7 linked regions of the Solanum lycopersicum genome follow. Each later gene encodes a partner of the first gene's protein in a complex. Links are inferred from orthologs where the notes say so. Each region holds a gene or a part of one and is shown on either strand. Other genes may lie near its edges. The genes, in order: NAD(P)H-quinone oxidoreductase subunit S, chloroplastic; ORR; NAD(P)H-quinone oxidoreductase subunit O, chloroplastic; photosynthetic NDH subunit of subcomplex B 5, chloroplastic; photosynthetic NDH subunit of lumenal location 3, chloroplastic; photosynthetic NDH subunit of subcomplex B 1, chloroplastic; photosynthetic NDH subunit of lumenal location 1, chloroplastic.

Region 1 (3,183 bases):
TAATGATCATTAGACATTGGAGGCTAATGCGTGGATTGGCTTACTACCTTGATACTGAATGTAAACATTTGCAGACTATGCATTATAAAATTTTGGTCCATCTGTTTGAGAATCTGTCAAAATCTTGCAGTTTGCACCATTGTATACTCTCTCTCAGGCTAGCTATCATTATTGAACTTATCTACATCGATATCGACCTGTTGTCCAATTGGATGGAGTCTAAGATCCACCATATGTGGTGTCAGAGGTACCTCATGCTTGTGAAAAGTAAGAATTGTTTTATCACTCACTGTTAAATACTGTATGTTGTTGTTCTGCTAGACTCTCTCTTTGCTCGATAAAACGTGTGATATTTCAGATCCTCATTACTGATGGTATCTAATGATCTATGAATTGATCAGAAGAACATGCTAGGATTCATTACTTAAACAAAACTAGATCTTGTGCAATCATATTAAATATTTGACTATATGTTTTGCAAGTGGTTTGAATTACCTGATTCTTATTTTTTACGTTGTTTTTGTTAAGAGTTCTTTCGAACATCACTGCTAAGAGTTGAACTTCTCATTTGGGACAGAACTCTTCCTGCACAAAAGTTTTTCTGCATTTCTTATTACATGCCATTGCCATTACAAAACTTACAGCTTGTATGTACAACAACCCAAAAGACAAAAGAACAAACAATCTACTCAAAAACTGAAGCAATTCAAGCTTCAGAGCTCTTTTCTACCATCTTCTCAAGTATCACAGACTTAAGATTCACCATTGGCGGTCCTTTCTCTCTACGTTCGAGTTCTTCGAGCCTGAAAGATATCAACCTATCCCAGTTCCCACCTTCAAAAAGCACAGCAGCCTTACCATCAGTAATCCTCTGCACAATCCCACAATACATATAATATGGATTATTAGAATTCTTGACAATAGCAATCATCCCAGGTAACAAAAGTGGCAATTCAGGTGGCTTTGGTTTCTTCACAAGACTTTGATTAAAACCAGAAACCATACTTGATTCTGTTTTCTTGGGTGGTGGTGGTGGTGGATTTTTCTCTATAAATTTCATTAGACCCTTCTCACCTCCCGGAAATCCGCCAGTAAACCCCATCATTTCTTTCTCAAATCCGTCCTCCGGTATCTCCCCAGTCTCCTTGTTTTCTTGATTATCATCATCACTAGCTGCTGCTGCTGCTGATCCTACTGCCTTTTGTTCTTCGGAAATCGACTTTTTTAGCTCTTTCTCTATACCCTCTTCTCCATTACACAGACCTCTACCTCCAAGAATCTCATAAAGATTGAATTTTGCTATTGGTGTAACTGAGTTTGAAGATGATTTCATAGCTGATTTGGTATGAACACTACTACTGAGGTTGAGATTGACAGATTGACCAAGAAAGTTTGATTTTTTAAGAGGTGGGGTTTGAATTTGAAGGCTTGAGAGTTGAAAGGAAGAAGCAGAAGCCATGGTTTTGATTTTTTTTCAAGAACTTTGGATTTGGGAAAGATGATGGTAGAGGATGAGATGAGAAGTAGAAATGGGAAACTGTAATTTGTCCTTTCAAATTCTGACCACCAATCTGTTTTTGTTTTGATATCTTCTATTGACAAATGAAACACATGAATGATGTTATCTTCCTTGGAAAAAGATTAAACTTGCACTCATGTTTTACACCATCCTTTCAAAAAGAATCAGGACCACACGTGAGGAATTGCGTTAAAAGTAAATTATAATTTTTATATTCATTTATGAAATTACACGAGATATATTATGTTTTTCTTTAATAATTTAAGATTTTTTTAAAAAATGATCATATGATTTAACTTGATGATCAGAGTATATAGAGGTATTAGATTCGCGCTATGTTGCTATTTGTTATCAAAAGGAATTTCTAAAAGTCAGGACCACACATGTGAAAGGGGTCTTGTAGAAGATATAGTTGATTAAATAAGAGGGCGTTTGAATTGATTTAAAAGTCAGTTATTTTTATTTTTGGAAGTGTTCGATAAATATAAAAAATAACTTAGAGTAAGTAAAAAATGGCTTAAAATAAGTCAGAAAGTGTTTGACAAAGTTAAAAATAACTTTAAAATGACTTAAAATAAGTTTAAAATCAAAAGTAGGTCTTCCTCTGCCTTTTATTTTTTAACTTATAAATCATTTAAGTTTGACATTTTATTTTTGATTTAAAAGTTACTTTTTAAGTTCATCTAAATAGCCTCTAAAGTTGTTTTTTTAAAGACGTAATTTTTCACAAATTGCAAACATAAAAATCATATTTGTATGTTGTAAATATAGTTTGCATAATTGCGTTCCATAATAAATTTTATGTTTGCTATGGAGTTTTTGATTTGTATAATTCGCTAGATACATCCAATTTTATTCAGATTGTTCAGTTTTGTATAAATTCATTTATAAATTGTAATTTGTATAATAAGATCTAGATTTATATAATCATAAGTATATAGAACGAATATATATATATATATATGTGTGTGTATGTATGTATGTATGTATGTATGTATTTGTATATAATCTTTTCTCTCGTTTCATACAAACACAAACACATTTTATACATTCTATATCGAAATATATAAAATGTCTAATTATATATCGGAAATGACTAATTGTATAGCGAATCAGATTACAAAAGAATGGAATGTTTGTGACAAATTACAAACAAAATAAATCATAGCTATATTATTTAATTTGAATAACATATTTTGCTATTTCATACCATTTTTCTTTAATACATTATTAAACACAATTTAGAGATAATAAGTATTGATAAAAGGTGTATATAGTGTACACATTGAATTTGCATAAATTGGAGCGTAAATTATTCCTATCAATAGCCAGAATGGGGACGAAAAGAATTCTTTTTTGTCTCTATAGGATTCATTAAATATTTGATAATAAATTCAATAATTAATATATACTATTAATTTAAAATTATCGTAAAAATTAATGGACTTCAAATCTTACATCTACTTATGCGAATAAACAATTTCAATGTGAACTTCAAATCTTACATTTACTTGTGCGAATAAACAATATCATACATTGAATGTTTCGAGAATGTATTTGTAGAAATTGACTCAAAACAACAACAAACACAAGTGGTGTTTAGAAAAAATGCAGTACATAAATCTTATTTATAATTCTTTGAGGTAAAAAAATTATTTTCCATA
Region 2 (3,402 bases), on another chromosome or scaffold:
GAAAGTAGCGACTTCAATGATGAGTTGCGACTTTTATGATAAGTTGTGACTTTTATTTAAAGTTACGACTTCAATGAAGAGTTGTGATTTTTATGATGAATTGCGGCTTTTATGAAAAGTTGTGACCTTAATGAAGAAATGCGACTTTTATGAAAAAAATTACGACTTTAATGAAGAGTTACGACTTTTATGAAAAGTTGTGACTTTTATAAAATGTCGTGACCTATCCGATGAGTTGCAACTTTTCTAAATAGTTGTAACTTTTCTGATAAGGCACAATAAACATTTCTCACGCTACTCTTTGTTTGTCTATAAATAGAGGGATTTTCTCTCCTTTTAAAAGAACGAAAATTCTGTCTCTCTTCTTCTTCTTTTTCACAATTAAATATTTGTGTACATTGCTCCGGTTAGTGACTCACTGCCACCATTGTTTATGTTACAGATTCTAGTATATATTTTTACAATCATTAATTTATACTTATGTTATTAAGATTAAATTATAAGATGTAATAATTTTCATTTTTTTTTACATTATCAATAGTTGTTCTTACATAATCTTGTATGTAAGATAATATAGTGTGTTAGTTTTAAAGTCTAGTAAGTTTTACATATTATTTTAAAATTTTTGTGGAAAAAAACGAATAATTTTATAATAAAGTAGGTTGAATATAGATGAGGTAAGCTTAAATATATGGAGTGGTGTAGATATAGGAAATCTCAAACAAATTTGAAGCTATTGCAATTTTGATTGGGGGTATTGATACAATGCTTAGATGATTAGGAATATGAAAACCACAGTATAAAATACCCTTTTGCCACCAATGATTAGGTAGATAACATTTGTATTGTGTATAATCCATTTGGGAAAAGTTCTCAAAACAGACAGAGAAGGTGAAAGTTTCTTATACATTGTTACAACTGCATTTTTTGCTACTCATTGTTTCAATATAGTCAACATTGTTACCTGAATTTACTGGTTTACATCTTCCATTTGTCCATTGTAATTGAACCCAACTCTTGGTTTCCCCATACTGAAGTTAAGAACTCTTGCATTCATGTTGTATTGGATTTCTCCATTATAGAGAAGTTTTCTTATGTAGTGCTCTATGTCTGAACCTATCAGGCGAAGCGTGTACTCCGTCAATGGAGCTCCCTGGTCCAGATCATAAAAAGTTATTGGAGTTAGCATTTCTATTTCTAATCCATTTGGTACAAGAGTGATTGCATGATTAAGCTTGTATTGATGAAGAGAAGTTTTCATTACCTCATAATGATCAACAAGTTCTTGGAAGTAAGAATAGACTTTGGTACAAGTATCATCAGTCCACACAAATTCATCAGTAGGGTCAAGAAGGAGTGTGAGTTTATCCATTTGTGTTTGATCGAAAGCAAAGGTTTCGGGATCAATATAAGCTGCATATATTCGAACATGTCTAGTAGCACTACTGAGCCATTGTCCTCCATGTTCTCTGGTCATGTTCTTGCTCTGCACATTTATTTGTGGTTCTACTGGCCTTGGCTTCTTCATTGCCCCCTCTTCTTGTTTTTCTTCTTCTTTCTTTTCTTCCTCTTTTTTTAGTTTTAACTCTTCAACTTCTGCTTGCTGTGCTGAAACTGAGAAGAAGTTTCTCCTTTTGAGTTGTTTATTCTTTCCCTTTGTGCTCCAACTTAACATGCTGAAATGGGTTGAAGCCATGTATGTTGAAGTTGCTGCCATGTTTCCCCCTTTCTCCTAGTGTTTTGTTATGTGTGATTTTTATGGCCTTTTCTTGAATGTTGGTATTGGGATATTAATATATCCTCCTTTTTGTGTGGATAGGAAATGTTTGCTTACATATGGCTTCTTTTTATTATCTTATATTTTTTTTGTTCTGTGGCTGTGCTTAATAAAAGGTTAATTACAAATTACTCACTTTGAGGTACTTAAATTACTTTCGTTTTTATCCCTGTTAAACCAGGTTTAAAGGTTTGGTTAATTAGTGAATCCGAGCCATGAAAGATAAGTATGCAGGGCGTTTCACTTATATAGACAAAACCAAAAAATTTAAGTTCAGAAGTTCGTATGGTGGTGGATCTATTAAAAACAATCTTTTTTATCCGTGTATTCATCACTACAAAAAAAGAATGCTTACCTGTCAAAAGTAAAATAAACATAACACCAGCTGATTGAATCTACAGGTTCATTATCACCTGTGATAAAGACTCAATAAGAGAGTTCAGATTGACTTGAAAATTGTTAAAGAACAAAAGTCAAACAGCTTCCAATAAAGACTTGTACATAGGGGATAAGATTTTCATTTCCTTTAATTCTCTCACTATAACAACAGTTTTCTTGTTCTATCTCACACAACAGATTTTGCGAAACAAAAAATATGCCTAATCCTAAGACCTATACCTAAGTAATTAACTAAAAGCCTAACAATAAAAAGAAAAAAAATTGCTCTGCACTAGCAGAACACTACATAAACCTAATTACACAACCTCATTTACAATGGTGAGGCTACTCTGATACATAGCTTGTGGTCATATCACTTGGGCTATCTATATAGGGAGATGAACCTACAGACCTATTCCTATTTATCAGACGCACGGGCTTAATAAGCTCATCGAGATCATCCAGTTGCATCTCTGCTGGACCACTCTCGCAAAGTGGCTTTTCCTCGCTTCTCTGATCAATAGTCTGTTCCTCTTCGTCACTACCATCTAGGCTAATAAAATCGACAAACTTCCCTTCAAGGAATATGTCATTATTCCCCTTGACAGAAGGCTTCTCTGATCCAGCTGTTATGCACTCAGAAATATGAATGTGCGGAGAGCCAAAGTAACGACCTCGACCATTCTTTAACTCGCTCAAAGCTTTCCTTTTCGCTCCCTTCCTTCTGTTCTTCGGATGGTGAAGCTTGCAGTTTGAACCTTTGGGACAGTTGCCAGTTGCTTCAAAAACGGGGCAGACATAGGTGTGTTTCTTCTGACACTGCATGTTTAGAAATATGACCCATTTCACAAGTTTCAAGATTAGAGTGTTGTGTGTTTGTGATGATCTACATCTATTGTAAAGAACATATTAAAATAATACTGAAATAGTTGCATTCAGAGAAAGAGGTGACATAATAGGTAAAAATACTTGGCAAAATCACCGGTTGAAAATATAGCTATATCAAGGAAGTCATTCCAAAAACAAAAAATGGCAAACAAGAAGAGGTAAGGGTCCCCACTACTTCATTCATGGGGAAGTGTGGAGACTAGCCTCATCAGTTATAACAAGTTTGGGATAGGGACAAGCTTGTCCAGGAACCAGGAATCAACCAAACATAAAACTGTGTGATAAACTAACCAAACATAAAACTGGGTGATAAACTAACTTCAGAAGACCTTCTTTGCCGATCATCCAAACACAGCTAA
Region 3 (3,771 bases), on another chromosome or scaffold:
CTTCCAGATGAAAATGCTGTAATCAGATGTTCCGACAAGTTAGAGGCTATTTCATTTAAGCAGGAAGAAGTTGTGGTGGACACTGGTAAGACCTTGGCAGTAAGTGAAAGTTCAGACATCAGGAGTAAAGAGAGCTTGTTGCACAGAAAAACAGAGAATTGTATTTTTGAGTCAGCGGTTGGATTGTCAAACAGTTATAACCCAAGTTTGCGGAAATTATACCGGTCTATGCATGTACCAGTGCCCCGACCCCTTGCTTCGTTGACAGAGCTTATGAATGCTACTAAGCGTGCTAGGAGAAGGCTGTAAGTTCTGATTTTTCCTGGCATCATTTCTTCATTAATTTCTTCATTTCATTCTCCACCCTCATCGCTTTCAGATATTGATACCAAGTACAGCATTGTTTACAGAAAAAAATACAGATAACTTATACTCCATACCACCTGTTCTTCACCTTCCCTTTTTACAGGCTGCTGTACACTGAGACTTTCCAGTTACCTGCCTACTGTATATTGTGTGTACACTATAATTTTATGAAAAAATTAATGGTACATTGAGACGTACATTTCGATATTCATTTATAAACCGACTCCATTCTATTCAATATGGAAGGTATTTTGTGTTTAACTGATATCATATTTCAGTTCTATCCTTCCCAGACCCCACTTGTGGGATTACATTGGGTATGTTGCTGTTTATTTATATTTCAGTTGATCTAGAACGTCTCTTGATTGTTACTGGAAGCTGTCTTTTACCTACTGAATAGTCCAGGATTGTTATATTAAGCTTCTTAAGAATCAATTTAACGATTATTTAGTGTCAACTGAGAAGCTGATTGAGTGATCTTTAAGGAATAATAATATATTTAGCAATAAGTAAATTCTGGAGGTGTGTCCATCTCATCTCTCTTCATCTCTGATGAGCAGCGGTCAATCTGATGCTCCACTTTGATTTACTCGTCTGGCATGTACTGGTCTGTAACTGTGGACTCGCCACTATATTCTCTCGTAATCCAGCTTATCAGACTGCAAAATTTGTTATTGGTTAGGGAATGTGTGATTACGCAACAGACCACTTGCTTTTTAGCAAGGTGGAAACTGTATCATCAAATAAAGATACGATACTTGGGAGGATTGCTTAAGTTCATATAAGCAAACCACCAGTCCATTCCGGATACTTGGGAGGATTGCTTAAGTTCATATAAGCAACCCACCGGTCCATTCCCCAAACCTCCGTGCAGTTAATTGCTATGAGTTTGTCCAAAATAATTTTCACCAGAGATTCTCATTTGAAGTGCAAGGAGGTTTTTTTAATAGTGTACCATAAAAGGTACTCATGAAATGATGCAAATTGCTGCTTTAGTATTTTGAATGATTTCAAAAGGCTAATTACCTTAATTAGCATCTCTGTTGGAAGCCAAGCTGGTGCAGTTGGTATTCCGATCCATCCAATCTGCAGCATAGGTAAACTCTCAACTTTGATCTCTTTATATATTCAGTGAAATTTATGTTTCGAGGTGTGTTTTGATATAATAAATTGAATTTCGAAAAAAATATACTTACAAGTGCATATTCTCCTGTCTCGAATATACGAATATCCAATACCTAAACAGATATATGATTAGTTTATTTTATAAATAACATGTTGTTCCAAATTGTATTTTGTTATCCCTTTTGACATGATCTATAGAGAAATAAGAAAATGGTACCTCACCACGGTCTTCATATATGTAGTCCAGACCTTTGTAATAAGGTGGATGATCAACAGACAAATACTGAAGAAATTTATACAAAAATATACAGTCAAATTCCAGTGCAAGGGTGTCCACAACTTCCAATTCAGATTATTATCATCATTCATAAGCATGTAGAGGATACAATGCTGATTGGTAAAAAATTATAGTATATATATCTTTATTAAAGAAGTCCCACTAAATAGGTCTGAGAAGGTAGAGTGTACATAAACCTTATCATTACCTCGTGAAGTAGCAAAAAAAAACAAAACTCACATTGATGCTATTCAGATACTTCTCCTTTTCCACCCTGACTATCTGACCTTTCTTCACTGCCAACCAAAACAAAAAAGCTAAACTTCTATAAACAAAAAATTAGTGAAATTTGAGACATTTTCATGAAATAGTACTACTCACTAGAATAAACCGGTTTTTTAGGCTTTGTTGCGGTGGCTGTTGTACTAGAAGAAGTTGTTGTTGCTGCTGCTGCTTGAGATTTTGGCTTCTCATTATTTTCTTGTGGTTCAGATGAACTATTTTCTGCTTTAATAACAAAAGGGCTATAATTAATCCTATTTTTTCTTGTTTGTGAAAAAGATGATGAATATATGAAGGAGGTGTGTGAAAATGCAGCAGAGAAAGCCATCTCTATAGTTTTTTTTTTTTTTTTTTGGAGATATAACTAGTTTAGTTGTGGCCAATATAAGTAGATAAGGGCATGCCCTTTTTCCCCCTTCTTCAACGGCCAGATTTGAATAACAAAAATTAGTCTGCTAATAAATGGGATTACTCTATTCTCGGTTAAGGATTTCGAGTTTGAATACTGAATTTCGATGTCATTTTTGTTGAAAATTACTGTGGACGTCCGTTAGAACTTTTATCTATGGAGCCAATTGGTTGTCACGGTCAAAACGACCATTTTAAAGGTCAAACCATCTTTTTAGTGATCCAGAATTTTAACGTTATTTGCCGAAAATTAACATAGTTAAAACCTTATCTATGGGGCATATTGGCCACTACAGCTAAAAAGGACCCATTTTCAAGGTTAAACGAGTTTAGAGTAGGTAAACCCCCAATTTTGTCGAGTGTTCTGTGCTATAGTCTATGAAATTTTTGGTGAATAAGAACTCTGACGTCATATTTTCTGAATTAACATGGATGATTGTTAAGATCTTATCAATGGAGTCAGTTAGTCACCACGATCAAAACACCCCATTTTGAAGGTCAAACGATCCAGAGCAGGTAAACCCTCATTTTTTTCAATTTTTGTTTACAAGTAGGTAAAAAACAGATTTTATCGATTTTCGTATGACATAACCCATAAATTATTTTTACCCAAAAATTCAAAACAAAATGGTCGAATTTTTTCATGGACGTCCTTTAAAAACTTAGAAATAAAACTAGCTCGTCTCGTGGAGAAAAATGATGCATTTTTAAGTTCAAACGTGCCCAAAGCAGGCAAAGACATATTTTACCAATTTTTATGTGTTATATCACATGATTTTCTTTTTGATTCGGGAATATAAAAAAATGGCCAAATTCTTTTGACATCCGTTAAAACCATATAAATTGAACCAGTTCGTCCCGCAGGGAAAAATCGTGCATTTTCAAGTTCAACTGAACCCCAGAGCAAGAAATTTGATAAAATTTGTCTTTGTCTGCTTTGGAATTTGTTTAAACTTGAAAATGTGTCTTTTTTCCCCGCAGGACGAAGTGGTTCCATTTTAAGGTCTTAATGGTCGTCTATTAAATATGCGGTCATTTTGTTTTAGGATTTATGGATAAAAAATATTATGGGCTATAACACACTAAAATCGATAAAAACTACCTTTGCCTTCTTAGGGGCTCGTTTGAATTATAAAATACATCATTTTTCCCCGCGGGATGAACTCGTTTCATTCCTTAGCTCTTTACGGACGCCATGAAAAATTTTGGCCATATTGTTTGGAAATTTTTGGATTTAAAAAAATTCATGGGCTATGCACACAAAAATCGATAAGATATGTCTTTATCTATTTTAGGGTTCGTTTAAACTTGAA
Region 4 (4,335 bases), on another chromosome or scaffold:
TGTTTATCCAAGCTTCTTGTGTGTGTACTTTTGCTCTTCAATTACTCTTAAGGCAAATTCAGAATTTTTAAATGCGAAGTCATGCAACATCCAATGCCCTTTTCTGATGATGTTTAAAAATTTAATATAAATAGTACTTATATCTTTTGAGAAATAATTAACTATTACTTTCTCTATTTCAGTTTATGTGATATTTTTCATTTTTCAGAGTCAAATAGTTTAAGTATGATCGAAAATTTGCACGTACAATCTTTAATATTTTTCAAAATTTAAATTTATATATTTGTAAACTACGTTAAAAGTAATATAAGTCGTAATAATTGACAATTCAAAATAATTAAAAGATATATATAAAAATTTACGATCAAAGATAGACTTGTTTGAATCTCGAAATTCAAAAAGTGTCGCTTAAATTGGAACGGAAGTAGTACATAGAGCTAATTCAGTAGGTATATTTACACATACAACAAGCAATATCAGAACATTCATAAAAAATATTAGAAAAAAAAGCCAAATCATGTTAGTTATCACTCATCATTCAATCAAACTTTTCAACTCTTAAGTTCCTTCTTAATGTAACTTTAAACATCCTATGTACTTTGATTTATACAACTCTCATCGCAGTAGCGCAATCAGAATTTTTATTAAGGAAATTCAAAATATAAAGAATTGATAAAGGGATTTGACATATACTAATAAGAAATATATAACTTTGACCTTATATATACAGTGTAATTCTTCAGCTAGGGAGTTCATTAGAGTTTTTTTTTCATCTCAATGTAGTTAAGAAACATATAGTACAACCATGGAACAACACCAGATCATATGCATCTTCGAGTAATCGATGAAATCCAATGATCATTACGCGATTCATTTAGATACCTTAATGATATATTCAGAACATATGAATTCGTTGTTCTTTTTTATTTCTATCGTTTCATGATATCGTCCTTCTTAACAGTAAAATCCCATAAATCACCATATTTTTCGTTGAATTCCCAAATGTCCATTGTGTTATAATCCGATATTAACTTATCTCGCGCACCTCTCTCCATGTTATATATTTGAGGCTCGAAATTGTGTGCTTCACTTGGTTTGTCCATCTCAATGATACAGAACACAATTGTAAACACAGCTGCTCCAATGTACAAATACTCCCCCTGCATTGTCAAAGAAGTGAAAATACAAGACTTTTAGTTGCTGGAAACGGGTGTTTTCGAGCCTCGAAAAATGTGTAATATAGTAGAGATTTAGTCATTAACTTACAGGAACATTGAAGTACATTCCTGCAACTATTGCTGGAGGAAACAGCCATGAAATGATACCTATTGTCGAACACCAGAAAAATAAGTTATTTTAAGTAAATAACTAAAGAAGCACTCAAGGGTGTGCCCTAGTGGTCAATGAACTGGTTAAGAGTCACGAGGTCTCATCACGTTCAATTCTCAGCGAGAGAAGAAAAATTCTAGGTGATCCTTTCATTTGTCTTATCCACTGTGGATGAATAGAGTTTTTTTTTTCCACCCGATGTCCGGAGCTTACATTGGAATTACGACTAAATTCGAATCGCACATTGCAGGTCCTATATTTGAGGGTGACGCTCCCAACATGATTTTCTCAATAGATCATATCCAATACTCAAACCCGAGACCTGTGGTTAAGAGTGAAACACTCCCACCAGTGAACCACAATCGGTGTTGGTAGATGGATAGAGTTAGCTGATACTTGTTGCTGATGGAAAGTATTTCGTGAAATTAGTCAAAGTGCGAAAAGTAAATGACTAAGTTAATGATCATATTATTATGGTAATTTGTTACATACCTTGAAATCCTGTTGGGGGTGCAATAGCAGCATAATCTTCTGCTATGGATCCCCAAAATGATACTGAAAATGCAAGTGATATAGAATTAAGTATAGTTTAAGTATAAATACATTTACCTATTTTTGTAAAAATAGCTACTCAAATATTGTGTTTTTCGAAGAATTTGAACACGTGGAGTTCACCAATTTCACGTTGGACAAATATGAAACGATTTATTAAACGAAAAGTCGAACGAAGACTAACTTGATCGAATTCATATAATAATACATTGGACAAATTTAGATATTTTTCAATTCAAATTACAAATTAAATCGAAAAAAACACACACATATTGTTATGTACCTTTTTTATCTTCACTTTCAAAGTACGTATGATGATCATCGTATTTTCCAAAAACATAATCTTCCTGCAACAAATTAAAATAAAATAAAATTAGTTAACATGCGTCTGCCTTAAAATAAATCCGTCAAAATTTCAATAAAAAAAAAATTATTACATAAATATATAAATATGCCCTTCAATTTTGTTTCAGTTACATCTATATCCTCTTATTTTCGATGTACACAAATAGAGACTTATATAAAATTGAAAAAATAGATACATTTGTCAGTTAAAAAAAGCCAAGTTAAAAGGACATTTTGTATTATATCAAAATTATTCGATATCTATGTTGATGAAAGATATTAAACTTACTCAAACACTACAATTATTTAAAAACAACGAAGAAAAGAAAAGAAACATTACAATGTCAATGCCATTAGTTCTCCATCGATCAACAGGATCTTCGTTGATATCTGGTTCTATCTCTGTTAGTCCTGCATACAATCTTGTTGATGATCTAAATCCACCACATTTTGTACCAATTTTCGAGGAAATCGAACATGGATTTCCTCGAAAAAGAACACTCCATTTTGTTGAGAATACTGAATTGGGAACTGGAATTGTGGAGAGTAGTGAAAGTGTTAAAGAATTCTCCATTGTTGTTGAGTAGTGTTGCTCTGTTCTTGCTTGTTTACTCTATGTTTTCTAACTTTATTATCCATATATTTTGAATGGTTAAGGCTATACGTGGATAAGGCTATTATATATTATGGTTTTATATTTTTTTTTTAATATCTATTTAGTCTCTTATTGTGTTACCACAATTTCCGACCCCTTTTAACTTGATTTCATCTGACATCTATGTCTTTCAACTTTGATTGTAGATAAATCAACACTTAAATTTATATAACATTGAACAAACATAAACAGACGTACTACGTGATATAATGCACGTAGGACATTATATAGGATGCAAATTGTCACGTACGATGTCACATAGGATGTGTCTACTTGTTTAATTATATACATATTTATATGTCTGCTTGTAATTGTACATATCCAGAATTGGAGAACGTAAATGTCTATTTAAATGAGATTATTCAAAATGCTTTAAACAAAATAAATTAGCCTCTCTTAGCCATAAACCAGATTTTTTTTTTGCTTACCATTATAAAAATTATTTTAAAACTATTTTAAAAAAATATTTTCACCAATATTTCAAAATTTTAAATTTTTTTCCAACTTATGACAAAAATAAGGGAGAAAAAAGGAGGAAAATATCGACGACATTCATACAGAAATAATTATTTCAATAGGAAACTATTTAATTATAAGTAAGTTTAGGTTTAGCAAACATAAAAAATCATATTTGTATACTATAACTATAGTTTGTATAATTGCGGCCCATACCAAATTTTATACTTGCTATGGTACATTAAATCATTGGCAGCCTCTCGTTTGTATAAATCGTTGACAACCTCTAAATTCAATTTTATGTGTTTGTATATCTGCATAAAATTTGAATTTGTATACAATGTATCGAAATAAAACATTTGTATATCAAATCGCTCTCTCTCTCGAGTTATATAACACAAAGTATACATTGTAATTTGTGTTTATATAAAGCGAGAAAGAGAGAATGACAAAAGAGAACTTGTAGAGGAAATCTGTATTTGTATAATTATAAGTGTATATGACGAAATTATATGTATGTGTACATATAATTTTCTCCCGCTTTATACAAATACAAACACAATTTATTCATTTGCCTTTTGTATAAAGTGAGTGAGACGAGGGAGAGTGACGAGCAAGACCTGGGAGAGTGGCAAGCGAAATTCGTCGGGGAGAGAGGTGAATGACAATTGTTTGCTACGAGTTACAATTAAATCAAAGTATGATTATAACATTAATTTGAATTAATAATTTGATATTTTATATAATTTTTCCTTTAATTATTAAGCAACTGTACGTATACTGTATCTTTCTTTTATGTATATCCAAAATTCAATACAAAAGAACGACAATAATATTTTCATCTATCTAATCCATCTACCATGATATTAATACAAATTAAACGAATATGACCATGTAAATTCATTTCAAGTTTGAATCAAAGATCATAGATATAATAAGACTGTGTAGCTATAGTTTCAATAATTGCGCTTCATAATTATAATTTCATTTGCTATGGA
Region 5 (4,556 bases), on another chromosome or scaffold:
TAATAACTAAGATCTCAAAATATTTAAGTTAAATAAATTTTACTTGCTTATTTGAAACATGAAGGGGATGTAGCTCAGATGGTAGAGCGCTCGCTTAGCATGCGAGAGGTACGGGGATCGATACCCCGCATCTCCATTTTAATTTTTTTCGATAATATTTCATTATATTTGAATTTTGTTAAAACGGTATATTTATCTTTGTTTGGTAATATTTCATCATATTTGAATTTTGCTAAAACGGTATAGTTATCTTTATTTGATAATATTTCATTATGTTTGAATTTTGCTAAAACATTATAATTATCTTTGTGTGATCTATAAGTCACATGTTCGAACCTGAAATAAGTCTTGGATTATGGCCCTTCCCCCGTTCCACGGGTCATGTATAAAAATTTTGCTACGATGGTACGGTATAGTTATCTTTGTTTGGTAATATTTCATTATGTTTGAATGCTGCTAAAAAGTTATAGTTATCTTTGTTTGACCTATTAGTTACATGTTCGAACCTGAAATAAGTCTTGGATTGTAATCCTTCCATCGTTCCATAGGTCATGTATGGACTCGAGATGCTTCATGCACCGAGTTGTCTCTATTATAAAAATGTGGAAATCAAATTGAATCTCCATCAAAGTGTTATTGACAATTCCAAAATTTACGAAGGAACATTTTGTCTTCTTGTAGTCAAAATGACTAATTAACAGAATATAATTAAAACATATGTTTTGTTTATGCCATTCTGTCCATGACTTGTTGGAGAATAGTAGTTGTTTCTTGATAACATGATTGTGTTTGAGGCAGGTTCTTTTTCTTCACAGCATCTTCAAGCTGCATAAAAAAAAATATTGGAGCAAACACATGATCAAAAACTTTGCTATTTATAATTACGTTGTTCAGACTTTTCAAAAATATTGACGGTCACCAATCATAATGTGTGTCGTATTCTACAAAATCTATACATTTTTGTAAGGATCCGACAATATTTTTGAAGTGTCAGAGGAACACAACACCAGACTTATATTGCTCGGACTTCAATAATATTGCCAGAGCATGTGCTAAGATTTTTGGAGGATCTGATACGAGCACAACAATATTTTTGGAGGGTCCGATCAATATTGTATCAGACATATGTTGCTCAGACTCTTCAATAATATTGTCACAGTTTTTGTGTGTAAGATTTTGGAGGATTCCACATGGGCACAACAGTATTTTTGGAGGATTCGACCAACATAGTTATCAAACCTATGTCGCTCGGATTCTTCAAAAGTGCTTCTATATATGTCCGTCAATCGAGGATCCTCCAAAAGCTATGCAATGGATCCGACATAACAGGTACAACAACATTTTTAGATGGTCCAATTAACATAACATCAAGCCTATATATGTGTATATATATTGCTCAGACTCTTCAAAAACACTATTGACATCACATTGTGTACCGCATCCTCAAGAAAACATGCATTTTTCAAGGATGTGACACTGATACGACAAAATTTTTGTAGGGTTTAACCAAACTAATATCAATCATATATTGCTCAGACTCTTCAAATCTATATATATTTTTTGAACACATTTGGGACAATATTTTTGAAGGATACGAGCAACATATAATATCAGACAAATAAAATCAAATGTACCTTCTCAACGTTATCAAATAATCGATTAGCAAGATCAGTGAGAGGTTGCTTATCATTCACTTGTGCAGCTGTGATAACTTCATCAAAATCATAATACATAAATGTAGATTTAATCCTCAAATATTTCCTCACATAATTCCAAGAATCTGTTCCAATCAAATCCCCTAATGCCAATAAATCAAATGCATATCTTTTCAACCTATGAATTCTCCCTTTTGTTCCAATATTAGCAATGTACATTCCTTTCTTAAGAAATGATCTTGTACCTGTCTCCTTGTTTATAATATCTACAATCAAATATTACAAAAACTTTTATCTAACATATTAAAATTATGGACGATCGACTCGATTCTTGATATCTTAAACTTAAATGCGCGAAAAAAGCTCAATTTTTTACCCTTTGACACCAAATGGGGTCCGACATCACTACAAGAAAACTGTAAATTACATAATACGGATAGGCGTATAGACTTTTTCTTCTTACGATCCTATCATTTCTGCTTCAGCGAAATATTCTGATTCGGCTAATTTCACACTTATCTATGAGCTATGATGGGGATTTTTCTGAGAATTAGTATGAAAATTTATAGGAAAATAAGTTTATGGTGAATTTTTATACTAATTCCAAGGAAAATCCCCATGTATTCACAGCTTTTTCGTAGTGTATAAAGGTAATTTTACATCGAATTCAAATTTTTTTACTCGAATAATTTGGACATGTGGGGTTCACCCATTTCATATTCGTGCTATACATGAACTTTGTTAATGTAGTCTGGTACATAAAACATTTCGCATTAGATGAATTGGGAATATCTATAAATGCAAGTGTTAGTGGCTGTTAAACGCGACGTGATAAAAAAAAATATAGAAAATAAAAACTTACTGGTGGATATTGAAGGGTCTTGTAGTGGACCAGTAATAAAAAATCCATTATTATCTTCAGCAAGTGAAATATCAATTCTTGAATTTGCAAATAAAGCAATTGAACCAATGCTTAATGCTAATCTTCTTGTAATTTTTGGTGGTGAATTTTCTTGAATTTCTTTATTTTTTTGGCTTATTGTTTTTGCTTTTTTCTGAATTTTTTCAATCTTGGGAATGAGGGGAAGAGCTTCAAATATAATGTTTAAATTTGTTGTGTTTGCCATAATTTTTTGGTGTTGAAACTATGAACAAAAATGATAGCCTATTTTTTGCACTTTCAAAAAAAGTTATAATATTATTATCCATTTGATGAAAATCTTGATGACTATTGGCCACTAGAAGGATATCTCAATTGAGGGTAAGATTGTAATTCTCCCCTCTTTTCTTTTCTTTTTTTCCTTTTTATGTTTTTCCCAAAATTATAAATTCCTATGATATTTTTATTTTTCGAATTTGTTACTTAAAATCTTAGCTCTGTCACTGACTTTCAACCTAATTATTTTGAAGAAAGAATCAAATACGAGTGAGCTGGATAATTTATCTATTTTACTTGACTCATTTTCAATCTCTTTGTATCTATAACTCGATTCTCCTATTTGTTACACTTGTATTTTTTTTATATGGTCAATGAACTAAGAACTTATTTAACTATACTTGTTTATGTCTTATATAAGCAAAGTGACATAAGTAAAGATTAATATATGAGTTTTGACTTATTTTTGTTATTTTGTCGTAGCATCAAGTGTTTAATATATGAGTTTTGACTTATTTTTGTTATTTTGTCGTAGCATCAAGTGTTTAAAAATACTTAATATTTTACATGAATGCTATGAAACTGTTTAAATACACCTAAAATAAGTCAATTAAAACATGTTCTAATAATTATTAGTATCTCATAAAGTCATATTTCTTCTTGATTCAATTTCCGTAACGGAATGTTCAAGGAAGAAATGACCGCACGTCGAGTAAATATGACCAAAGTCCATTTATTTGCTCTCTTTATTCTGTAGATACGCTCGTGGAAAGAAAAATCGGAATTGAAAATGTAGATTGATCAATTCCGCCCCGTTCGAGTAATCGTATTGCATATAATGAACTATAAGCCCAATGGGCTTCACTTACAGGCCCAAACTTCTTCTAAAACGGACCCATGCGAGCCCAAAATTTTCACGCATTTTGGGACCGAAGTTCAAATTACACACTCTCCGGCAAGTTCCTCCGGCGAAGTTCTTCTCCGACGAGCCAACTCCGGTCAAATCCTTTCCGGCGATAACACCGCTGTAAGTTCTAACTTATCTCACTTTCTATATATATTCCTTCTTCCATTGCTCTGTATTCATATACAGAAATGTTTAAATTCGATTTCAGATATAAAATTGACTAATTTAAAGAGTTAATGTTTCACAGTAGTAGTTTAAATTAGGTAGAAATCATGTTAAATTGAGTGAATTGTGTAAACTTGTTGGATTAGTATAGAAATATTATCAAATGATTAAGCTTTGTAGCAAAGACATTGAATTAGGGTGGGGATTTTGTGAATGATTGAGCTCTGCAGTGAAAGAAACTTAAGTACATTATAATCATTTTGATGGTCAATTTTCGGAAAAATTGACGTTTAAACTATCTTTGAACGGGAGGTGGAGCAAGGATTTGAACTTCATGGGTTTTGGATACGAAAGCATGGCCTCGAGTACTTGTAATTGGGTCATGAGTTTGATTTTTGTACATATGTAGTGATTTTAACAAATACACAAGGTTATGAATATAGTTATGCACTAGTTTTTTTCTTTTTTGAAGTTGATGTTCCTCCTTTTTTTCCCAACATGCTTTCTATATTATTTGATTGATATGTTTTCCTTGAGCCGAGGGTCTATTGAAAACAATCAAAGTCTGTATACACTGTACCTTCTCTAGACTCCACTTGTGGGATTTGGGATCAAAGCTACTGGTTCTGCCTTCTTGGAACAATAACGACTAATATGTTATTTGTCAAGCCAT
Region 6 (4,579 bases), on another chromosome or scaffold:
CCAAATTTGGAAATAAAAAAATAAATGGGAAAAGGGAAATTGCCAACTTAAAACACAATTTAATTCAGGATAAGCAAGAATCTAATTATAGAGCTTAATTATTGTTCATCTATTACTGTGCAAATTGATTATGGAATATAAATCCTCTAGATTGAAGATAGCTTTTCAATTTGTGATGGGTACTTGATTATGGAGTGGAATCTACATCTATTTATTTTTAAGCAAAATTTAGAAATTTAAAGTTTCATTTATTATTTTTTAGTACGTTTGATTTTATCAATTGTTTTCTAGATTATTATTATTTTAGATTAATAAATGAATTTTCAAGTACAATTTTTGTTTCATGAACATCTTCACATATTTTGATAAAGATCATAAAAAGGAAAGGAAAAGAAAAAGTGTAGCCTGTTTTATAAAAGAGGTTACCTTATAAGTCAAAATATTAGTGACATATCAAAGCTAGTTTAGTGAATAAAACAAAGCCTAAGAATTTACTTTTTTTTTCTCTTTTATGATCTCATTATCTCTTTTTCTATATATAATAATATTTTGTTTTTTCCTTTTGATCTCATTAATTGACTCTGTTTATAATCTTTACTTTTTTGACTTAATTGTTACACAATTTTGTGAAGTTCCTTTCCTTTTTCATGCATCTTTTTTTCTTCTTGATTGCATATTAAGCAATCGTTTTTAGGATAACTGTACTTGATTCTCCCTATGATGGAACAACAATATACATAATTTGTTATTTGCTAGCACTTTGTATTTTAATTAACACAAGTAGTATAACTCACGATTCTGACAACATAGATAGGATTTCTCCGTCTCAGACAGTAATGGAGCTAAAATTTTATCTAAGGGGTGTCAAAATCTAAAAAAATAAAATTATGTAAAAGCTAAGGAATATCAATATGTAATATATATATATATATATATATATATATTAAACCTAACTCAATTCAAAAAGCTAATTCAGGGCGATGTTTTTGAAAACGTTTTGGGGCGAGTTTCAGGGAGGGCCATATCGAAAATGCTCCAGGGCGTAAATGAAAGAAGTAAATTCATAAGGTGTAAGTCTTGAGCATAAAAAACGTAAGTTCTGGGCGTAAAACGTATATAGTGACGTTTTAATTTATTATTTAAAACTTTTTTTACTTTAAATTATATTTTTACTATTGGTGTAATAATATTTTTCAAATAGTAATTATAATATATTTTTCTTCATTATTGATTATTAATATTTATTGCAAATAAGAATTATAATCATTGAAAGATTTATTTTTATTTATTTTATTAGTAATAAAATTATAATATTAAATATACATGAGACTAAGCCTAGTAGACCCATGGGGCTTACGCCCCGTGTTCAGGGATTTACTCCTCGCCCTATACGATATAAATCACCTCACTTTTTAAAATATTGATTCAGAATACGAAAGAAATTCTAGTAAAAATTATTTTCTCTTTAAAATCAAATTTATGCAATTTAAATTAGTTAGATTATCAATATGGCTACCATACACTCGATTGAAAACAAAAACAAAAAATACTTTTTCATTCGTCATAATTTATATGATATTATTTAATTTAATATAAAATACAAATGATAGACATAAATTGAGACAAAAAATCGCTAATGACGAGGCAGGAACATAGTGACAACAATGGGGACCTACTTATCTCACTACCTTCACACATTGAAATCCAACGTCACCTTCTGCTATAGTTTTTAGCTATCCCCAAAAAAAGTTGCAGAATTTTATGATAACACTCAAATGGCTGCCTCTACTACTCTACTATCTAACTCCATTTCTCCTTTCTTTGCTAATCCACCTAATTTTCCTGTAACCCATGTCACAAATGTACCTTTCTTGAACCACAATCCATCTTTTCCCGCCAGAAAATCAGGGAATTTTTGCCTCAATGCCAAGAAAAAAAATCCATGGCTTGACCCTTTTGACTATGGTGATGATCCTGAAATGGAATATGGTTCACTTTTTTCTGAAGGGAAACAAGATGAAGATCCAAGGCCACCTGATAATCCTGATAACCCATATGGATTTCTCAAATTCCCAATGGGATACTCTGTTGAGATTGCTTCGTTGGGTTTGAAAATTAGAGGTGATGTTCGGAGATGTTGTTGTGTTATTGATGGTGGGGTTTATGAGAATTTGCTGTTCTTTCCAGTAATTCAGATGATTAAGGATAGGTACCCTGGTGTTCAAGTGGATATACTTGCAACAGCCAGGGGAAAACAGACATTTGAGATGAATAAAAATGTGAGGTGGGCTAATGCCTATGATCTGGATGATGATTTTCCTGAACCAGCTGAGTATACGGATATGCTTGGAATTCTTAAGGTTTCATGCCGTTCCATTAACATTAACATCGATTCATAATTATTTAAATTCTACGTTGCTTGGACTCTTCAAAAATGTTGATTTTAAAGTGCATTACTTTTGGAAGTATCCGACACACATTAATCTACGAGCAACATAGGTTTAAGCAAGTTGTTTCATTTGAAGTATGATTCTTGTCGTGCCTTGATGTATTAGCACCTAAAATTAGAGAAAGTAACAAACATTATATGGAAACTTAGTTAAATACGAAGATTTAACTATGGTTATCTTATGAGTTTGCAGATAATTCAAAAGTTGAGCAGACTACGTTTGGAAAAAGAATCGCTTAGATTAGCTTCAAGATGCTGTTCGTCTTGTTTAGTCAGATAGAGATAAAAGAATTTGCTTCCTGCATTATGAATAGAGAGTTATAGTCATTTTTTGGGCTAAGTTATTTGCTTTAATGCATGGTTTGTTGCAGAGTAGGTACTATGATATGATCTTGTCAACCAAACTGGCAGGGATTGGACATGCAGTATTTTTGTTTATGTCGACTGCTCGTGACAGAGTTAGCTACATTTACCCAAATGTGAATTCTGCAGGAGCAGGATTGTTTCTGTCAGAAACTTTTACACCAGAAAGCATGAACCTCTCCGAGGGCGGATATCATATGTAAGTAGATGTTCCAACTGATAACTTGATCTTTTTGACTACTGAATATTCATTTCAAAATAGGGAGTTTGAAAAGTGCAACAGTTGTACTTCGTCAAAGTTTGTATAAACATGTTTACATACACTTTTTTGAAATAGGTACCGTCAGATGGTTGATTGGTTGGGCAGACCAGCTCGTAAAGTACCTCGACAACCTTTACCCCCACTTAAAGTTTCAATCTCAAGAAAGGTTAGGGAGGTTGTAGAGGCAAAATATAAGAATGTTGGTGCACAGAAAGGCAAATATATTGTGATTCATGGGATTAAATCAGATTCAAAAGCTTCTATGCAGTCAAGGGGTGATATTGATAGCTTGCTCCCTATTGAGATTTGGGCTGAGATAGCAGAGGAGATAAGGTATAATGTCAGTATTTTATTCTCTGTCGGAAAAAGGGCCGACTCGACTACATGGTCATTTTTAGTTCTCGAATTAGCTGATTAGCCTTTTTTCATCAAATGCAAGAAAATTTGTGAGCTATACTAATGGTTTGTAAACTATCATTTGATCAGGGGAGTCAAGCCAGTTTTTGTCATTCCACACGAAAAAGAAAGAGAAAATGTGGAAGATGCAGTTGGTTACGATGCTAGTATAGTGTTCATAACCACCCCTGGACAGGTTTGTTTTCTCAACCACTTTCACAATATCAATGACCGATGATCAACCAGTGTTTAGTTGAACAACCATAAAAGAAGAAATTGGTTGGAGTCACAGATATAATGGCAACAATTTACAGTCATATTCAAGGAGGGTATAATCAAATGAAAGTAGTTTGCTTCTGTTGCATGTTTAGTGGCAGCTTTAACTATAGTCTATATACCGCGGGATGAGCACTAGAAAACTAACAGTCCCTGCATATTTCTCTGCCTTAGCTTGCTGCTCTTGTTGATGACTCTGCTGGAGTGATAGCTACAAATACAGCTGCGATACAACTTGCTCACGCACGTGGAAAACCAAGGTAATGTCATCTACTACAAGCTGTAGACGCGGAAATTTTTTGCACCTTCTGCTGTCTTTGTGGGGAGGTTGATATATCTTGGTTTTGTCTGTACAGTATTGGGCTATTCTGCTCTGAGGATAAGGCCAGAAGTTTTGTTCCCAATGCAGAAGCAAAGAAATGTGCAACTATTTCATCAAATACTGGAAAATTGGTTGATATTGATGTTGAAGCTGTGAAGAGTGCTGTTCAAATTTTCACCATGCCCCTAGCAATCTTCTAAATATTATACATCCTCCAGTTCTCTTACATATAGTAATTAAGTATTCCTGTAATTGTTACTAGTTCCATTTTCTTCTCAATTGTAATTAATAGAAGCGGAAATATATATATTCGTTCTTTTTTCTCAACAGAAAAGGAATATGGAGATATGTTATTTATCAATGTGACACTTTAGGACATTCTGATATCTATAAAGTTTTGCAAGATTGTATAAATATAAAGAAATATGATAGTTTTCACAATTTGCGATTTTCATGTTTCTAAGAAAAACACAAACTTAAAAAAATCTAAATGACATATCTAAAAGGAATT
Region 7 (3,958 bases), on another chromosome or scaffold:
GTCTAACTAGGATAAAAAAGCAAACTCGTCAAAATTTTGTGTGATTCTACAAGACGAGCTCAATCTTTGTTACAGTTCACAGAAGTTACTCTATTCTAAATCCTAGTTCACGCCTATATAAGGGTAAAAGTTACTTTATTCTAAAACCTAGTTCACGTTTATATAAGGGTAATATATTCCCTTGAAGAGGTATGTCAAATATGTCATAAACTCCTAGAATATTCACAAAGAGATCAAGACATCAAATATTGCCTTACAATCAAATATATCTCAAAGAGGTCCAAATTATCATATATTCGAGAAATATGTTACTAACCACCCTCGAATAACAGATTTAATTCAGAGAGAAAAATCAAGAGAACTTATACTCGCAAATACCAATGAAAAACTGTGTTTCATCATATTTTATAGGCATAATACATATATTGGACCCTAAACTTGACTTCAAATTTTGACTTTGACCTCCAACTTTAATAGTGCACAAATAGACACTTAAACTATCATACCATTAAATAAATAAACACACGATTTTTGGAGACAAAGAGAGTGAAATGCAAATGCTCCCACGTATATTAGTGAGCCACTCAATGACTGCCAACTAATTAAATATTTTATGCGTCCATTTTAGAATTTAAAAAAAATTTAAATGAATTTTGATTTGGAAATATAAAAAAATATATAAAAGGGATTCATTAATGGTGGAGTTGTTATTTCAGCATTTTTTTACCATTGTGGACCTCAAAAATTACTACTCCTAACTCGCACAAAATACATGCACATTACATGTTTGCCAGGTACGACTCGCGTGTTTATTTATTAAAGGGTTAGATAATTGAAGTGTTTGTTTGTTTACTATGAACGTTGGAGGTCAAAGTTAAAATTTGAAACCAAGATTAGATATGTATCATGCCGTACTTTATTTGTGCTTTATTTTCCATCACTTTAAAATTTGTCGTTAACACTTCACCGCTTCAACTACAAGGGGATTTCAGTTACTTATGGGATAGCCAGAAACATTCTTTGTACTGTAATTCAATAAACAAATTGCAAATCCTGTTTCATGGAACAAGACTCTATCATTGCAGCTCTTAGAACAATTCTAAATGTCCAACACCTGAAATGAATCAGCCACCACTTTAAGTTTGTTGCGGAATTTTCTCCATCGCCTTTCATTCGCTCCCACGATTAATGTGTAGTATCTCCCTGTACGAAATGTCTTAATACGAATGCAGAAAAATGTAATGTACAGTTAAAGGAAACAAACCAGATCACTTACCATTTGCAATTGCTATAGTAGCAAATGCTGCCCGCGAAAAATTTGGAGATGTCAATACATATTCAAAGGTGAAATAGTTTTTCCCATCCGTAGTTCTCTACATAATTTTGAACAAAAATATGGTGACTAATTGAAAAAGAGCTACGTATATTGTACAATCAAGAGAATAAGAAAGGATCATACCTCCTTCATTTCCATTATATTTGCCACCTGATTCGGTGCAGAGTAAACATGTTTTACCAGATCGGGCACAACCTTTAGGAAAGTAGAAATAAGTTGGTATGACGAAGAAAATACATGTCTTTTTTATATTTTTCTCCTCCTTGATAGCTTAATAAAAAACGGCTACATAGATGAATAGTACCGCGATTTACCTCTTGCATTGGCCCCAAATCATGGATATCTGTTTTATCAGTTGGTATAAAACTAAGTCTTACATTTTGCAGTTGTAGATACCTATCTTTAAATGCAGAATCATGACCTCTGAAATCGAATTCCTGTACATACATCCAAAGTCAAAATGAGAGTTTACTAATTTCTAAAAATTCATTTCTTAAAAAAAAAAGAAGCAACATACCCTCCAATCTGATGGATAGTAATACGAATAACCATCTCGTTTGTCAACAAAGATTTCATAGTTCTCCGGTACTCCTGCATACACGTCATTTAATTATAAAAAGTAAAAAGTTTAGAGAATAAAAATTATAGTAACAGAGTACCTTGAGCTAGAAGGGGAGTCGCGGGTAATAATAAACCCAACGAAAGAGCCCCTGCTCCTAATAGATATGACCTTCTCATCAAGCATCCTGAAACAGAGATACTAGTAGAATTTTACCACGGAGAAAATGGCGTAAATGCAAACATGACTTCATAATTGATCGATATGAAATTTTCTTACTCTGTTGATTAGGGGACGTGTTTTCTGATGCCGAACATGTAATAATGTTGTGTAAGCCATGCCTATTCAAATTGTTGGCTGCTGGTGATGGAAGCCCAAGATTCAATGAGAGTGAAGTAGCTGCCATTTTTGTGGACAAAAATCACTAGATTTTTGCTTAACATGTTTATTTTTTCTCCTAATACAATCACTTTTTTTTCCATCATTTTTTCTTGCTCAATAGGATAAGATGCAAATTAAATGTGAGGATGACCTTTCCTGCCAAGGTCCAAATGGGCTTTTATGTCTCTTTCAACTACAACTAAATGAGCTGTGCTTCATATGTGGGGCTAAAATTTGACTATATCCACATTGATAATTTTTACTAATTGTTCTTGCAAATTTTTCACAAGTTTACCATGTCATAAATATCTGTATGTAACAACAGCACAAACTTGAATCCTTGATGGATGAGGCGGATCTAATGTATTGATACCGAGTTTATCTGAACTCAGTACTTTTAATGCGAAATATAAATTTATGTGTAAAAATTCATCAAAATTGCAATAGATAGTAAATGTAAACTTATAACTTAAAAATTAATGGGTTGATCAATGCTAAAAACCTTAACAATTGACTTCGAAGAATTTAAGATAATGATACTTTAACAACTCGACCATATGAAATGTGATATCAAATGCACCCATGTTGATGTGGAAAAACCAAGCACAGGTTCTTTCAATCACTGTATAGCACAAGCTATTTGAAAGGAAATCCAACTGGCGATGCATCAATGATCAATTTACATCCTAGCGTGGAGGTATTCATCAACTGTGTAAATGCAACGCCAAATATAATTGAAGAATGATCAAAGGGTACCAGGGGTGGAGTACGCCATGTTAATGTACCTTGGATGATCCAAATCTCAGTGTATGCGTCTAAAGTTTCAATCCTGAAATACAATATACAGGAAAGGAAAAATAGCAAGCAAACAATAATATTTGTATTTGAATTAATACTAAGGTTACAATCTTTATAAAATATCTCAAAAAGATATTTAATCCCCTGATTCTTCTCTTCACAGATGTTATTGATTTGGCGGAATACTTGCGGCTCAACCCTTGGAGCGAAGACTTCTTTATATGCTGAAAAGCAATTATGTATTCCTGTGTATATGTATTTTTTTTTGTCCTTTTGGTCAGAAGAATACCTCTTTATATAGGCTTGAGTTAGGGCTTTAGGGTATTTTGGTCTGAGCAATTTTGATCCCTGGGCCTGAAGAACATGAGTTGGGCTCATCTTGTCAACTTAATGGAATGATCCAAATGATTTGGACTTGATTTAAGTCATACAATTTTGGCTTAGATATTAATTAGACTTTATCAACCAGTAATTTGACTTGGTCAACATATGGTGATTTAAGATTTAATCCAAATGTAATATGGATTTATCAATAAAACTTCAGTGTTTACAAATGCCCCTACTTTGAGGCTTGTTGAGGTGCTTGATTTGTCGAACTTGTAAAGACAAGCCTTGAAGTATTTGTGAAGCAAATGTTTTTTTTATCGTAGTTGATCTTTCACGAGACATTTGAAGCTTCATGAGAGATGACCATGTCGATATGTTAAGGTCAACATTTACCATAGTCTTTATTACAATATTTTCTAATTTGTAAGAGGTCATTTGAATTTCAGTTGTTTATCAACTCATTTTCAACTTGAAATGTTTCAAGCTGATGAGACTTATCGCATGACATTTCTTCATGGTGTGGTAATTTCATTTGGGTCATCAACTACGAAATGACC

What was found.
Region 2: NAD(P)H-quinone oxidoreductase subunit S, chloroplastic (region 1) and ORR share a complex: the UniProt entries of both Arabidopsis thaliana proteins name them as parts of the chloroplast NDH complex. The link is inferred for Solanum lycopersicum from reciprocal best matches to the Arabidopsis thaliana genes NdhS and NdhM.
Region 3: NAD(P)H-quinone oxidoreductase subunit S, chloroplastic (region 1) and NAD(P)H-quinone oxidoreductase subunit O, chloroplastic share a complex: the UniProt entries of both Arabidopsis thaliana proteins name them as parts of the chloroplast NDH complex. The link is inferred for Solanum lycopersicum from reciprocal best matches to the Arabidopsis thaliana genes NdhS and NdhO.
Region 4: NAD(P)H-quinone oxidoreductase subunit S, chloroplastic (region 1) and photosynthetic NDH subunit of subcomplex B 5, chloroplastic share a complex: the UniProt entries of both Arabidopsis thaliana proteins name them as parts of the chloroplast NDH complex. The link is inferred for Solanum lycopersicum from reciprocal best matches to the Arabidopsis thaliana genes NdhS and PnsB5.
Region 5: NAD(P)H-quinone oxidoreductase subunit S, chloroplastic (region 1) and photosynthetic NDH subunit of lumenal location 3, chloroplastic share a complex: the UniProt entries of both Arabidopsis thaliana proteins name them as parts of the chloroplast NDH complex. The link is inferred for Solanum lycopersicum from reciprocal best matches to the Arabidopsis thaliana genes NdhS and PnsL3.
Region 6: NAD(P)H-quinone oxidoreductase subunit S, chloroplastic (region 1) and photosynthetic NDH subunit of subcomplex B 1, chloroplastic share a complex: the UniProt entries of both Arabidopsis thaliana proteins name them as parts of the chloroplast NDH complex. The link is inferred for Solanum lycopersicum from reciprocal best matches to the Arabidopsis thaliana genes NdhS and PnsB1.
Region 7: NAD(P)H-quinone oxidoreductase subunit S, chloroplastic (region 1) and photosynthetic NDH subunit of lumenal location 1, chloroplastic share a complex: the UniProt entries of both Arabidopsis thaliana proteins name them as parts of the chloroplast NDH complex. The link is inferred for Solanum lycopersicum from reciprocal best matches to the Arabidopsis thaliana genes NdhS and PnsL1.

What each region holds. Positions count from the first base shown.
Region 1 is NC_090807.1:67,427,383-67,430,565, forward strand, and holds NAD(P)H-quinone oxidoreductase subunit S, chloroplastic, read right to left. Parts: upstream 1,460-3,183; coding exon 707-1,459; 3' UTR 583-706; downstream 1-582. UniProt on the Arabidopsis thaliana protein: NDH shuttles electrons from NAD(P)H:plastoquinone, via FMN and iron-sulfur (Fe-S) centers, to quinones in the photosynthetic chain and possibly in a chloroplast respiratory chain.
Region 2 is NC_090803.1:56,432,086-56,435,487, forward strand, and holds ORR (NAD(P)H-quinone oxidoreductase subunit M, chloroplastic), read right to left. Parts: upstream 1,828-3,402; 5' UTR 1,718-1,827; coding exon 1,265-1,717; intron 1,154-1,264; coding exon 971-1,153; 3' UTR 811-970; downstream 1-810. Other genes in the region: uncharacterized protein At1g21580, read right to left, coding at 2,501-2,974. UniProt on the Arabidopsis thaliana protein: NDH shuttles electrons from NAD(P)H:plastoquinone, via FMN and iron-sulfur (Fe-S) centers, to quinones in the photosynthetic chain and possibly in a chloroplast respiratory chain.
Region 3 is NC_090810.1:1,415,046-1,418,816, forward strand, and holds NAD(P)H-quinone oxidoreductase subunit O, chloroplastic, read right to left. Parts: upstream 2,476-3,771; 5' UTR 2,379-2,475; coding exon 2,150-2,378; intron 2,086-2,149; coding exon 2,009-2,085; coding exon of another isoform or gene 1,977-2,008; intron 1,775-1,976; coding exon 1,709-1,774; intron 1,605-1,708; coding exon 1,563-1,604; intron 1,453-1,562; coding exon 1,393-1,452; intron 1,026-1,392; coding exon 996-1,025; 3' UTR 750-995; downstream 1-749. Other genes in the region: uncharacterized protein, read left to right, coding at 1-309. UniProt on the Arabidopsis thaliana protein: NDH shuttles electrons from NAD(P)H:plastoquinone, via FMN and iron-sulfur (Fe-S) centers, to quinones in the photosynthetic chain and possibly in a chloroplast respiratory chain.
Region 4 is NC_090808.1:66,330,478-66,334,812, reverse strand, and holds photosynthetic NDH subunit of subcomplex B 5, chloroplastic, read right to left. Parts: upstream 2,894-4,335; 5' UTR 2,801-2,893; coding exon 2,567-2,800; intron 2,229-2,566; coding exon 2,165-2,228; intron 1,885-2,164; coding exon 1,822-1,884; intron 1,326-1,821; coding exon 1,267-1,325; intron 1,161-1,266; coding exon 930-1,160; 3' UTR 689-929; downstream 1-688. UniProt on the Arabidopsis thaliana protein: NDH shuttles electrons from NAD(P)H:plastoquinone, via FMN and iron-sulfur (Fe-S) centers, to quinones in the photosynthetic chain and possibly in a chloroplast respiratory chain.
Region 5 is NC_090809.1:1,367,253-1,371,808, reverse strand, and holds photosynthetic NDH subunit of lumenal location 3, chloroplastic, read right to left. Parts: upstream 2,865-4,556; 5' UTR 2,783-2,864; coding exon 2,518-2,782; intron 1,922-2,517; coding exon 1,635-1,921; intron 826-1,634; coding exon 727-825; 3' UTR 571-726; downstream 1-570. UniProt on the Arabidopsis thaliana protein: NDH shuttles electrons from NAD(P)H:plastoquinone, via FMN and iron-sulfur (Fe-S) centers, to quinones in the photosynthetic chain and possibly in a chloroplast respiratory chain.
Region 6 is NC_090802.1:62,985,571-62,990,149, reverse strand, and holds photosynthetic NDH subunit of subcomplex B 1, chloroplastic, read left to right. Parts: upstream 1-1,651; 5' UTR 1,652-1,775; coding exon 1,776-2,360; intron 2,361-2,820; coding exon 2,821-3,011; intron 3,012-3,149; coding exon 3,150-3,407; intron 3,408-3,560; coding exon 3,561-3,666; intron 3,667-3,920; coding exon 3,921-4,006; intron 4,007-4,102; coding exon 4,103-4,268; 3' UTR 4,269-4,402; downstream 4,403-4,579. UniProt on the Arabidopsis thaliana protein: NDH shuttles electrons from NAD(P)H:plastoquinone, via FMN and iron-sulfur (Fe-S) centers, to quinones in the photosynthetic chain and possibly in a chloroplast respiratory chain.
Region 7 is NC_090809.1:53,936,666-53,940,623, reverse strand, and holds photosynthetic NDH subunit of lumenal location 1, chloroplastic, read right to left. Parts: upstream 2,449-3,958; 5' UTR 2,302-2,448; coding exon 2,175-2,301; intron 2,097-2,174; exon of another isoform or gene 2,083-2,096; coding exon 1,996-2,082; intron 1,928-1,995; coding exon 1,854-1,927; intron 1,774-1,853; coding exon 1,651-1,773; intron 1,532-1,650; coding exon 1,460-1,531; intron 1,374-1,459; coding exon 1,277-1,373; intron 1,204-1,276; coding exon 1,100-1,203; 3' UTR 894-1,099; downstream 1-893. UniProt on the Arabidopsis thaliana protein: NDH shuttles electrons from NAD(P)H:plastoquinone, via FMN and iron-sulfur (Fe-S) centers, to quinones in the photosynthetic chain and possibly in a chloroplast respiratory chain.